3 linked regions of the Mus musculus genome follow. The protein of the gene in region 1 interacts with the protein of each later gene in a pairwise test. Links are inferred from orthologs where the notes say so. Each region holds a gene or a part of one and is shown on either strand. Other genes may lie near its edges.

The links.
Region 2: the proteins of Ehhadh (region 1) and Trim41 interact in binary tests that used the Homo sapiens proteins (3 or more experiments, as listed by UniProt). The two-hybrid records come from large-scale screens. The link is inferred for Mus musculus from reciprocal best matches to the Homo sapiens genes EHHADH and TRIM41.
Region 3: the proteins of Ehhadh (region 1) and Actg1 interact in binary tests that used the Homo sapiens proteins (3 or more experiments, as listed by UniProt). The two-hybrid records come from large-scale screens. The link is inferred for Mus musculus from reciprocal best matches to the Homo sapiens genes EHHADH and ACTG1.

Annotation. Positions count from the first base shown.
Region 1 is NC_000082.6:21,785,198-21,788,944, reverse strand, and holds the start of Ehhadh (peroxisomal bifunctional enzyme), read left to right. Parts: upstream 1-1,110; 5' UTR 1,111-1,164; coding exon 1,165-1,238; intron 1,239-3,747. UniProt on the Homo sapiens protein: Peroxisomal trifunctional enzyme possessing 2-enoyl-CoA hydratase, 3-hydroxyacyl-CoA dehydrogenase, and delta 3, delta 2-enoyl-CoA isomerase activities. Catalyzes two of the four reactions of the long chain fatty acids peroxisomal beta-oxidation pathway.
Region 2 is NC_000077.6:48,814,463-48,818,172, reverse strand, and holds the start of Trim41 (E3 ubiquitin-protein ligase TRIM41), read left to right. Parts: upstream 1-781; 5' UTR 782-1,517; coding exon 1,518-2,330; intron 2,331-2,344; exon of another isoform or gene 2,345-2,364; coding exon of another isoform or gene 2,365-2,469; intron 2,470-3,710.
Region 3 is NC_000077.6:120,345,761-120,349,507, reverse strand, and holds the start of Actg1 (actin, cytoplasmic 2), read left to right. Parts: upstream 1-1,012; 5' UTR 1,013-1,083; intron 1,084-1,410; 5' UTR 1,411-1,416; coding exon 1,417-1,539; intron 1,540-1,632; coding exon 1,633-1,872; intron 1,873-1,971; exon of another isoform or gene 1,972-2,016; intron 2,017-2,094; exon of another isoform or gene 2,095-2,158; coding exon 2,159-2,597; intron 2,598-2,689; coding exon 2,690-2,871; intron 2,872-2,974; coding exon 2,975-3,118; 3' UTR 3,119-3,747. UniProt on the Homo sapiens protein: Actins are highly conserved proteins that are involved in various types of cell motility and are ubiquitously expressed in all eukaryotic cells.

The sequences.
Region 1 (3,747 bases):
TCTACACACAGCAACACGGTAGAACCTGCTTAATTGGCATCCATGAACTCAGCAACTTTGGAACCCATGCTTGTAGACAATTCTGTACCATTAGGAAAAGAGAACCCACTGTGCTGCCACCTAGCTGTATCCCTATTCCTCTGCCACTTACAGAGGGACTAAGTGATAGGAGGCTTTGCTGTTGAGGAGCACTGGCAGAACCTGATTGGAACTGCCCTTTGAACTTTGTTCCCTAAATGCCTTACTTGCCTTTCGCTGGTTCTGCTCCCACCGAGGTGCCAACTGTAAACATCCAAGCCATTTAATGGATTTATATTAAAGCCTTCACCAAGAACCCACTGTGGGAGACACCACAGAAAGTTCCGTGCTCAATTAAAATAAAAGTGCAAACCTAATGGCCAGTGACCGAGTCCTACAGATGGAGATTATAAAGTGTCTTGAGATGACTCCAAAGAGGGCTTATTATCGATCCTTGCTCCAAGGGGGTGGGGTGTAATAAGGCCACTCAGTGCTATTAAACCTTGAACTCTACCTGCTCAGGTTCCTAGGATGCTGGGACTGATTTCTCCTAGACACCATACCTAGAAGTAACATTCCTAGAAATAATATTTAGACATTGTTAAAACTTGTGAAACATCAGTGAAGATTTACAAGTACGGTTTTACTTGTCAACCTGCACACTGTCTTCTGTCCACTTGGTGGACTTTGGCAACCAAGAGGAGCCATGCGCAGCTGGAAGGACCGTGCCCCAGGCTGTTTTAGAGGGAAGAGACAAGGCATGGTTTATTGTCAGGCTGCAGCCTACGTCCAGCCCATAATATGTGTGCAGTTCCTGGATGAACTGTGAAAAATCCCAGCCTTTAGGAGGGACAGAACTAGAGAAGGCCGGGGCTTCGTGCCCTGGTAAATGGCTGTTTTGTGAACATGTGATTGACGTTGGTGGTGTGACCCAGCAGTTTGGCTTGCCTGTGGACATTCCCTTTGGAAGCATAGGAAGATCGCGCTCCTTGGAGCGCAGCCCGCCCCAGGGAGCACGAAGTGCAAGGGGCAGGAGGCGGTAGCAGCGGCTCCCATTGGCTCAGAGCACGCCCCTCCTCTCAGGGCGGCCCAGAAAAGGAGCCCCGGGCTGCCCCAGACATCAGAGGCGCAGGATACCTTGAGAAAATGGCTGAGTATCTGAGGCTGCCCCACTCCCTGGCTATGATCCGCCTCTGCAATCCACCGGTCAATGCCATCAGGTAACACCGCCCGGACAGTGGGGTGTGGCGGGTCTAGGAGGGGGCTTGTCTCAGCTGGAAGGGCGGGCCAATGAGCAGCTGGCTCCGGCCTTCCTTCTGTCAGCTGTTGACCTCACTGCGAGGCCCACGTTTGGTTCTGGCGAATCAGGAACTTACAAAGGTGAGGTTGATGCAGCAAGTGTCTGCTTGAACCCCTTCCTGCAACCTTACTGCCGGCTTGCAACCCCAGCGTCTCTGTGATGCCAAAAGCTATAGTTAGCTGACTCGTAGAAAAGCAGAGTTTAGTGCCTTGAGTGTCAACTCTCCCTGTCAGAGGAGGCCTACTGGATAGTATTTTCTGAAAAGCTGAAGTTTCATTTACACCACCTGCAGTGCCCTCCTGTGCAATGCACTTAGCACATTACTATTATAAATGAGATCTGTCTTCTTGAAAAAATGATATTCATTTACCCTGTTCACTCCATATCACCGGCGAATAGAGTATAATTCTATATTAGCCTCAGGAGGAGTCACCCATACATTGCAGAAGTGGTGGACAGGATTGTGACAGATACTGTATAATTTTCACTGGTGAGACCTTGCTAAAACCCTTTTCTCAGGTGAGACCTTACAGTCTAAAGGACAAACCTAGGTACAGTTCCAGCCCTGTTCACTCTGCAGGGGACCAATGCAATGGATTTAGGCTTACTTTCAGAACAGGGTGGTGCGCTGGGGGCAGGTTGGGGGAGGGGAGGGCGGGGACAGGAGCATGAGTGACTTTAGAACTGCCACATTGGAATCAGCCCTCCCCAGCAAAGATCATGACTCCCCGTGGCAGTTAAGAACCCCTTCCCCAGCCGAGCGTGGTGGCGCACGCCTTTAATCCCAGCACTCGGGAGGCAGCACTTCTGAGTTAGAGGCCAACCTGGTCTACAAAGTGAGTTCCAGGACAGCCAAGGCTACACAGAGGAACCCTGTCTCGAAAAACTAAAGAAAAAAAAAATAAATAAAGAACTCCCTCCCCTAATCCTTCCCTACCTATATCCTCTAGTCCTTCCTAGAGACCCAAGGGTACAATTAGGGCAAAGAGGGGTGGCTGGATAATCAGAGTGTTCTGGTCCAGTCCTTCTATGAAAGTCTACCACCAACAAGCCCAGCATTGGCGATCTTTGGCAAACAGGCTCAAGCCAAACTTGCAGCAGTTTGGCTGGGAGAATAGTCCTGTACAATGGATGAGAACAACTAACCGTTCACCCGAGAGAGGGCATCTGTGACCGGCCAAGTAAAGGATTCCACCCACGTCTAGCTCGGTAGATTAGTGACTTTACTGAGGTCAGTTACAAGAGTATAGTTGCTTCTGAAACAACGGAACCCCTGGAAAGCCCACCCCAACTCGTGAGGAGCCCCCTCCTCACAATTGCTTCTCTCCTGTAACTTTGGAGACGGATCTTATGAAACTTACAGGTTTCTGAGCTTCCTGGGGCGTCTTAAACATCAGTAGATGTGTTTAGCTTTCAGTGCCCTGTCAGTCTCTTTAGCGTCCCCAGTCTTAGCCCCTTCGGGAGGGAATGCGTCAATCCCAAGGAACTAGCAGCACAGTAGCAGAATAAATAAAGTAAACATAGGCCATTTGAAAATTCCCACCACCAGCTGCTGGAGCAAAACCAAACAGATGCCGGGGTGGCACACACCTGGAATCGAAGCATTCAGGAGACTGCGGCAGAAGGAACTGTTGATCTATTCAGACCCTGTCTCAAAAAAAAAAAAAAAATCTTAAAAGCAAGCAAACAAACAAACAACAGAAAAGAGGAGACATGTTCATTTTAACTGAGATTTAAAACCACACTGTTATTAGATTTTATTTTTTAAACTTAATTATTATTATTATTTTATGTGTATGGGTCTTTTACCTGAGAGTATATCTGTGTATCACATGCCCTGGTACTCATGGAGGCTAAAAAAAAAAAAAAGAGAGAGTTTTTTTTTTAAGATTTATTTATTTATTTATTATATGTAAGTACACTGTAGCTGTCCTCAGACACTCCAGTCAGATCTCGTTACAGATGGTTGTGAGCCACCATGTGGTTGCTGGGATTTGAACTCCTGACCTTCGGAAGAGCAGTTGGGTGCTCTTACCCACTGAGCCATCTCACCAGCCCCCAAGAGAGGTTTTTGTTGTTGTTGTTTTGGGTTTGTGTTTGTTTGTTTTGTAACAGCGTCTTTGTAGTTCTGGCTGACCTGGACTAGCTATGTGAACTAGGCTGGCCTTGAACTTGCAGAGAGCCACTATCCTCTGTCTCCCAATCACTGGAATTAAAGGTATGTGCCACCACACTTGACTTAATACTGTACTTATGTTAATATGAAGGATGGCATTGATTAATACATAATGTGCAAAAATTACTGGCTACTTTGGGCAGGGCAGAAGCAAATTATTGATCATGCCAGTCTCACTCTTGATCTCAGCCCAGAAACCAGGAAGTGGCTACAGCACGTGATCTCACAAAGAAAGCATAAGCAATATGGCTCC
Region 2 (3,710 bases), on another chromosome or scaffold:
ACACAGACTTGTCTCAAAACCCAAAGGACTATGTTTTCGGAAAAGTGTCTTTACTGGCCGGCCAGCCTTCCTAGAGAAATTCTGTTTTCTTCTATAGACGAGAATATGGTAGAGTAGCTAGCCCTTAACCTCTTTACCAGATACTAGAAACCGTTCTGACCGTTTTACATGACGACATCCTCACAAAATCCTGTGAGGCAACAACTCTGATTTGTTTTATATGATTTACGTTATATTACTATATACTTTATATAGCCATTCAGAGTACCGAATACACTTAACGTTGCTTGCCCTCCTATATATACTCCAGTGTTCAGCCACCTTCACTTTTTAAACTTAATTCATTCCAAAGATTCTCTGTCATATAGTTGAACACTGTTGCATTTAATATGGATGTGGATATTAATAATAAATGATGGGACAAGTGACCGGTTGGCAGGATTTGGTTTTGTTTTGCTGGCTTGCTTTGACTGGTTGGTGGTTGTTTTCTGGGACAGGGTCTCACTTTGTAGTCCAGGTTTGATAAACATGGAACTTGCCACAGTTCCGCGGCCTCTGCCTCTACAGTGCTGGGCTTGCAGGAGCGCTGTGGTCCGCCAGCAAAGTGGCAGTTCCTAAAGCCGGCGAGAAAACGCCCAGTCCAGCGGGAGGGCGGAGCCTTTCGCTCCAGTCCCAGCCGGTTTCGTCAGGCTCCGCCCAGAATCCCGCTCGGAGGGACCCCCGGACTCGCAAACGAACGAACAAGTTTCGGGTCTAGAGGGGCCGGAAATATGAGGACGCTGAGCGGGCCCGCCCCTCAGCTTCCGGCACTGGTCCTGGGAGTCCCTTCTGCAATCGTCCGTGCCTGGTCGGTAGGATGGCGCTAGGCCGCTGCGGTTGGAGCACGGAGAACAGGGCGCTGCTCAACGTCCTCGCCACCCTCCGCTGTCCGTTCCCGCTGGCAGGGCATGGGGGCGCCTTCCGCTCCGTACGCGTTCTTCGCGGCCAGTCATCACCGAGACGTGGGCCTCCGCCGTCCTAGCCCTCCCGTCCTGTTCCCGAGTGTCAGCTAGAGCGTCTCCTTCTCGTTTCCGGTCGCTCTGCAGCCTGGGGCGGGGCGTGGGAGAAGGGGGCGGTGCCTCGCCGGGAACTCGTGAGTTCAGGTAGTGCGGAGACGCCGGAAGCGTTGGGAGGGAGGCCGGAAGCCGGGGGGCGGGGCCAGGAAGTGAGGAGGGGCGGGGGTTTATGAGCAGGCCAGGGGAGCGTTGGGGCAGATTTGCACTCAGGTCCACCTGAGCGGCTTGTCGGTGGGGCTCCCCTCTGTCCCCTCCCCTCTGTGAGACACGGTGGTCGTCTGGGGGTAGGGGACTGTGCGTGGCGGGGTGGGCTGGTCGGAGGACATTCCTTTGGCCTTGCCGCAGGCAAGGTGCGGAGAGGTTGGGCTCGGGGTGGGGACGGGGCTTCGGGAAAGGGAGACCCCCCCGCCCCACCCCCCGCTCCCCCCACCGCACTTCTACCCTGGCTGACTGGACACTAAGATGGCTGCCGTTGCCATGACACCCAACCCTGTGCAGACCCTTCAGGAGGAGGCGGTGTGTGCCATCTGCCTCGATTACTTCACGGACCCGGTGTCCATCGGCTGCGGGCACAACTTCTGCCGAGTGTGTGTAACCCAGTTGTGGGGCGGGGAGGATGAGGAAGACAGAGATGAGTTGGATCGGGAGGAGGAGGAGGAGGAGGTCGGAGAGGAGGAAGAAGTGGAGGCTGTCGGGGCTGGCGGGGGCTGGGACACCCCTATGCGGGAAGAAGATTATGAGGGTGACATGGAGGAGGAGGCCGAGGAGGAAGAGGAAGTGTTCTGGAGTAGTGGTATAGGTGGGTCTAACTGGGACAACATGGACTATGTGTGGGAGGAGGAGGAGGAGGAGGAGGAGGAAGAACTGGACTATTACTTGGGGGATGTGGCGGACCTGAGAGGGGAAGATGAGGACGAGGAGGAGGAAGTGCTGGAGGAAGACGAGGAAGAGGAGCTAGACCCGATCACCCAACTGCCGCCACCTCCAGCCCCTCGGAGATGCTTCACTTGTCCCCAGTGTCGAAAAAGTTTTCCTCGGCGGAGCTTCCGCCCCAACCTGCAGTTGGCCAACATGGTCCAGGTGATCCGTCAGATGCACCCAACTCCTGGGCGAGGGAGCCGTGTGAATGAACAAGGCATCTGTCCGAGACATCAAGAAGCCCTGAAGCTGTTCTGTGAGGTGGATGAAGAAGCCATCTGTGTGGTGTGCCGCGAATCCAGGAGCCACAAACAGCATAGTGTGGTGCCATTGGAGGAGGTAGTGCAGGAGTACAAGGTGAGTAACACAGGGGCGGCAGAGTGGAGTCAGGATGGGGAGGAGAGAACGGGGACTGGGGATGGACGTGATGCCGGTTCTCCCAGCAGGACCTTGCCATTGGAAAAATGGTTCTCCCCGTCCAAGCACTGACTTCAAGGTGGGTAAATGAGAAGGATCCTCTAACTGGCTCTGTGGCTTAGAGACAGGCAGTGCTTCACTCCAGTCCTATTTTCTTCTGGGTGAATCTTAAGTCTTATCCATGACAGAGCTACTTCAGATGGGAAGGAATGGAGACCTAAAAGAACAAATGAAGGGTCTGAAACCGGAGCATAGAAATAACTAGTGTCAGGTTCCAAACACTTGTCTCTCAGCGGGTCCCACACTTATCCTAGGCTATGAGCTTCGTTGCTTTCTCTCTGCACCCAGTCTCATGTATTTACCAGAAAAGAGAGAGGCTCTTAGGGCAAGACGTCTTGCTCAAGTTTCAGAGTGTCTTTGAACTTTCATTACCACAGGCATATGGCCACCTTTTATAGATTATCGTTTATAATTCAGAGTCACTGTGAGTTTGATGTTTGCTATTCTCATTTTATTGATTGGGAAGCAGGTTTATGTTCTGAACTTGGAGGTTTATATGTTGTGCAGCTTTAGAGATAGACTTTGATGTGACCATCCTCCTCTTGGGGCCTACATCCTACTTGGATATTTTAGTTTGACCTTTCTGACCTGACTGTTCTTGGAATGTAATTTCGTTTGGTTAACTGTCTGGCTCTTTATTTCCCTGATTCTTTGGACATATGTGAAGGACGTTTATCTATGAAACAGCCAGCACAGATAGAACTATCTTCAGATTTGAGTCAGGAACTAGGAGGAGAGTGGAGCCTCTGTTTGCTGGCCCAGATCTTTGTTGTTTGTGATTCAGTCAGTGACTTCATTTAGGTGATCATCATCACCTCAGCTTAGAGACTAAGGCTTCACAGCTCATTGTCCGTTACTAGAGTAGGTTTTTAAAACTACAGTGGGCCTTATTGCAGAAGTCCAGAATCAGTGAGAGGATCTGTAGAAAACCTAAGATGGGCATGGTACAGCAAGCCCCTCAACTGAACGCTTGGGAAAGTGGAAGCAGGAATATCAGTTCAAGGGCATCCTTGACTACATAGCAAGATAGAGGCCAGACTCAGTTCCTGAATTACACGAGACTCACTCAAAAAAAAAAAAAAGTTATTTGCCTGTTTATAGTCTTTGAGACATGGTCTCTCTCTAGCCCTTGCTGTCCCAAAACACCCTATGTAGACCAAGCAAGTCTCAAACTCAAAGCCTTTGCAGGTGTGAGTGTAAACCCCATGCAAAGGTTAACAGACAACTTTGGGAATTGATTCTTCCTTCCACGTTGTGGGT
Region 3 (3,747 bases), on another chromosome or scaffold:
CACCTCACTGCTACCCTCCGCTTCATTCCACAATGAACCATTCCAGAAGCTTACAAATAAAACCCGGTTAACTCCCGTGCCAGCTTTCTCTTCAGGCACCATCTAGGACGGCAGCGCCACGACCCTGCTAAGGGTGACAAGTTTCCAAACAGCCGGGAGAAGGGCAGCGAGGCCGGCCCGCCCCCCACGCCTGTCCGGAGGGGACTAAGGCCTAAGCATTCTGTGCCCAAAACCAGTTTGACCCGGACTTCATAATCAGTGGAGAGGAGTCTCGCCAGCTGACCCACGCGGGGGGCGGGGCTGGACCATCCTGAAAGTCGGGAGACTTCCCCTGCCTCAGTTTCCCTACAATGTGTCCCGCAAAGCCAGCATAACACAATGCCCACTCACACCACCACCACCACCTTCTTTGATGCCCAGGGACACCCAACCCCGTGACGACCCCTCCTCCAATAAAGGGACATGGCTGAAGTGGAAGAACTGGTGACCCTCTCCCACGTGACTGGGATGTGATGGCCGCTCCCCGGACCCCCGGGAATCCCTCCAGCCCGTCCCCAGCCAGGCACACACGGACCCTGTAGAGAAAGGTCCTGGGGGGTGTGCGGGGCACAGGATTCACATAGGGGCGGGGGCCACGGGACTCACCCCAGATCGGGGCGCGGCCCGCCCCGGGCTTGGCAGTTTCGGGGCGCAGCCCGGGCCCTCCCTGCTACGCGGCAGTCCCGGGGCAGGGCAGGGCCGATCGCACGCACGCCACTCGCCGAGACCCCCGCGAGCAAGAACCGGGCCTCCCGGGGTCGCGAGCGCGCGGGGGCGGCGCGGGCGGGGCCGTTGGCGGCGGCGCGGGCCAGGGGCGGGCGGGCCCGGGCCCCACGTGTCCCTGGCGGGCGGGCCAATAGGCGCCCGGCTTTTGGAAAGATCGCCATATATGGACATGTTCTGGGGCCGCGCGCGCCCCCGCCCGCGCGCGCGGCCCGCTCCCGCTTAAATAGCGGCGGGGGAGGCCGCGGTCGGTCTCACACTCCGCCGCCGGCTTACACTGCGCTTCTTGCCGCTCCTCCGTCGCCGCCGCGTCCTTCGCCGGTAAGCTGCCGCTCCCCGGGCTTGGCCCAGTGACTTCCTGTGGCCCTTTCTTCCCGCTCACCCTGCCTGCCGCACCGCTGCGGAGCGGAGCGGAGCGCAGGGCGCCTGACGGGTGGGCCTGGGTCTGCAGCCGCGGCTGGGGGCAGGGCGGGGCCCGACGCAATGCGCAGCCCCTCCTCGCCGCGGCGGAACGGGGCGCTGCCGGTAGCCGACGGTTACGCCGCCCGGGGTGGGGACTGCACTCCTCCGGGGTGGCTCGGCCCTGGCCGAGGACATTTTCTGAGTTCGGTGAGGGCTGCGCTAATTCCGGGGCTTCTTCCTGCGCAGATCGCAATGGAAGAAGAAATCGCCGCACTCGTCATTGACAATGGCTCCGGCATGTGCAAAGCCGGCTTTGCTGGCGACGACGCCCCCAGGGCCGTGTTCCCTTCCATCGTAGGGCGCCCCCGACACCAGGTTAGTTGAGAGGAGTGGCCTCCCTTGTGTTCTCTCTGGGCCCGGGTCGCGCGGTGGGTGGGGCGAGTCTGACCGCGGCCTTTTCTCTCGCAGGGCGTCATGGTGGGCATGGGCCAGAAAGACTCATACGTGGGTGACGAGGCCCAGAGCAAGAGGGGTATCCTGACCCTGAAGTACCCTATCGAACACGGCATTGTCACTAACTGGGACGACATGGAGAAGATCTGGCACCACACCTTCTACAATGAGCTGCGTGTGGCTCCTGAGGAGCACCCGGTGCTTCTGACCGAGGCCCCCCTGAACCCCAAAGCTAACAGAGAGAAGATGACGCAGGTATGCTTGAGCCGGGACCTTGCCTCCCCTTGGGCGTGACGAGTCATTTTGTGTTGTGCCTCATTTCCTGACATTCAAGCGTTTCTTTGGTGTTTCTAGGGTTCTGTTCCTCTTCTCCTGGCATTTCCTCCCTGAAGCCTCCAGGTTTCTGTTTGCGTTTCTGCTTGCGTTCTGTTCTTTTTTTCTTCACACATCACATTTGTGGCATGCAGCATGCAGAGTGTGGGTGTGGGAGGCTCAGGGCCCCTGCTACTCACTCACTCAGGTGTTCTTTGTCTTTCCACAGATAATGTTTGAAACCTTCAATACCCCAGCCATGTACGTGGCCATTCAGGCGGTGCTGTCCTTGTATGCATCTGGGCGCACCACTGGCATTGTCATGGACTCTGGTGACGGGGTCACACACACAGTGCCCATCTATGAGGGCTACGCCCTTCCCCACGCCATCTTGCGTCTGGACCTGGCTGGCCGGGACCTGACAGACTACCTCATGAAGATCCTGACTGAACGGGGCTACAGCTTTACCACCACTGCTGAGAGGGAAATTGTTCGTGACATAAAGGAGAAGCTGTGCTATGTTGCCCTGGATTTTGAGCAAGAAATGGCTACTGCTGCATCATCTTCCTCCTTGGAGAAGAGTTACGAGCTGCCCGACGGGCAGGTGATCACCATTGGCAATGAGCGGTTCCGGTGTCCGGAGGCACTCTTCCAGCCTTCCTTCCTGGGTAGGTGTCCACAACATGATTTAGGAGCCAAGGGGCTCTCAGAAGGGATGGAACACACAGAATGTAGTGGCTAAATGAGCTCTGTTCCCTAGGCATGGAGTCCTGTGGTATCCATGAGACCACTTTCAACTCCATCATGAAGTGTGATGTGGATATCCGCAAAGACCTGTATGCCAATACAGTGCTGTCTGGTGGTACCACCATGTACCCAGGCATTGCTGACAGGATGCAGAAGGAGATCACAGCCCTAGCACCTAGCACGATGAAGATTAAGGTGAGTGGCTACCACCCGGCCTGAGCTGGCCTTAGGACCTGTGGCTGGGAAGTGGGACCCACAGGAAGGGCATGAGTGCTCATTCAGTGTTTTTCCTCCACAGATCATTGCTCCCCCTGAGCGCAAGTACTCAGTCTGGATCGGTGGCTCCATTCTGGCCTCACTGTCCACCTTCCAGCAGATGTGGATCAGCAAGCAGGAGTATGATGAGTCAGGCCCCTCCATCGTCCACCGCAAATGCTTCTAGATGGACTGAGCAGGTGCCAGGCATCTGCTGCATGAGCTGATATTGAAGTATCAATTTGCCCTGGCAAATGTACACACCTCATGCTAGCCTCATGAAACTGGAATAAGCCTTTGAAAAGAAATTTGTCCTTGAAGCTTGTATCTGATATCAGCACTGGATCGTAGAACTTGTTGCTGATTTTTGACCTTGTATTCAAGTTAACTGCTCCCTTGGTATATGTTTAATACCCTGTGCATATCTTGATTTAGTCCTTAGTTCATGTGGCTCGGTCACTTGGGGGCTGGGGAGAGCACGCTGTAGATGAGAAAGCCCCAGCCTGGTGGATCTCTGTGAGCACCACTGAGTGATCTGTGCAGGGTATTAACCAACAGCAGACTTCCAGGATTTCCTGAGGCTGGCAAGGGTTCCTGAACCAGTTACCACTCCTTCTTGCCAGTCTAACAGGGTGGGAAAGTCCGAGCCTTAGGACCCAGTTTCAGTTCTGGTTTCTTCCCTCCTGACCACCATCGGTTGTTAGTTGCCTTGAGTTGGGAACGTTTGCATCGACACCTGTAAATGTATTCATTCTTTAATTTATGTAAGGTTTTTTGTACTCAATTCTTTAAGAAATGACAAATTTTGGTTTTCTA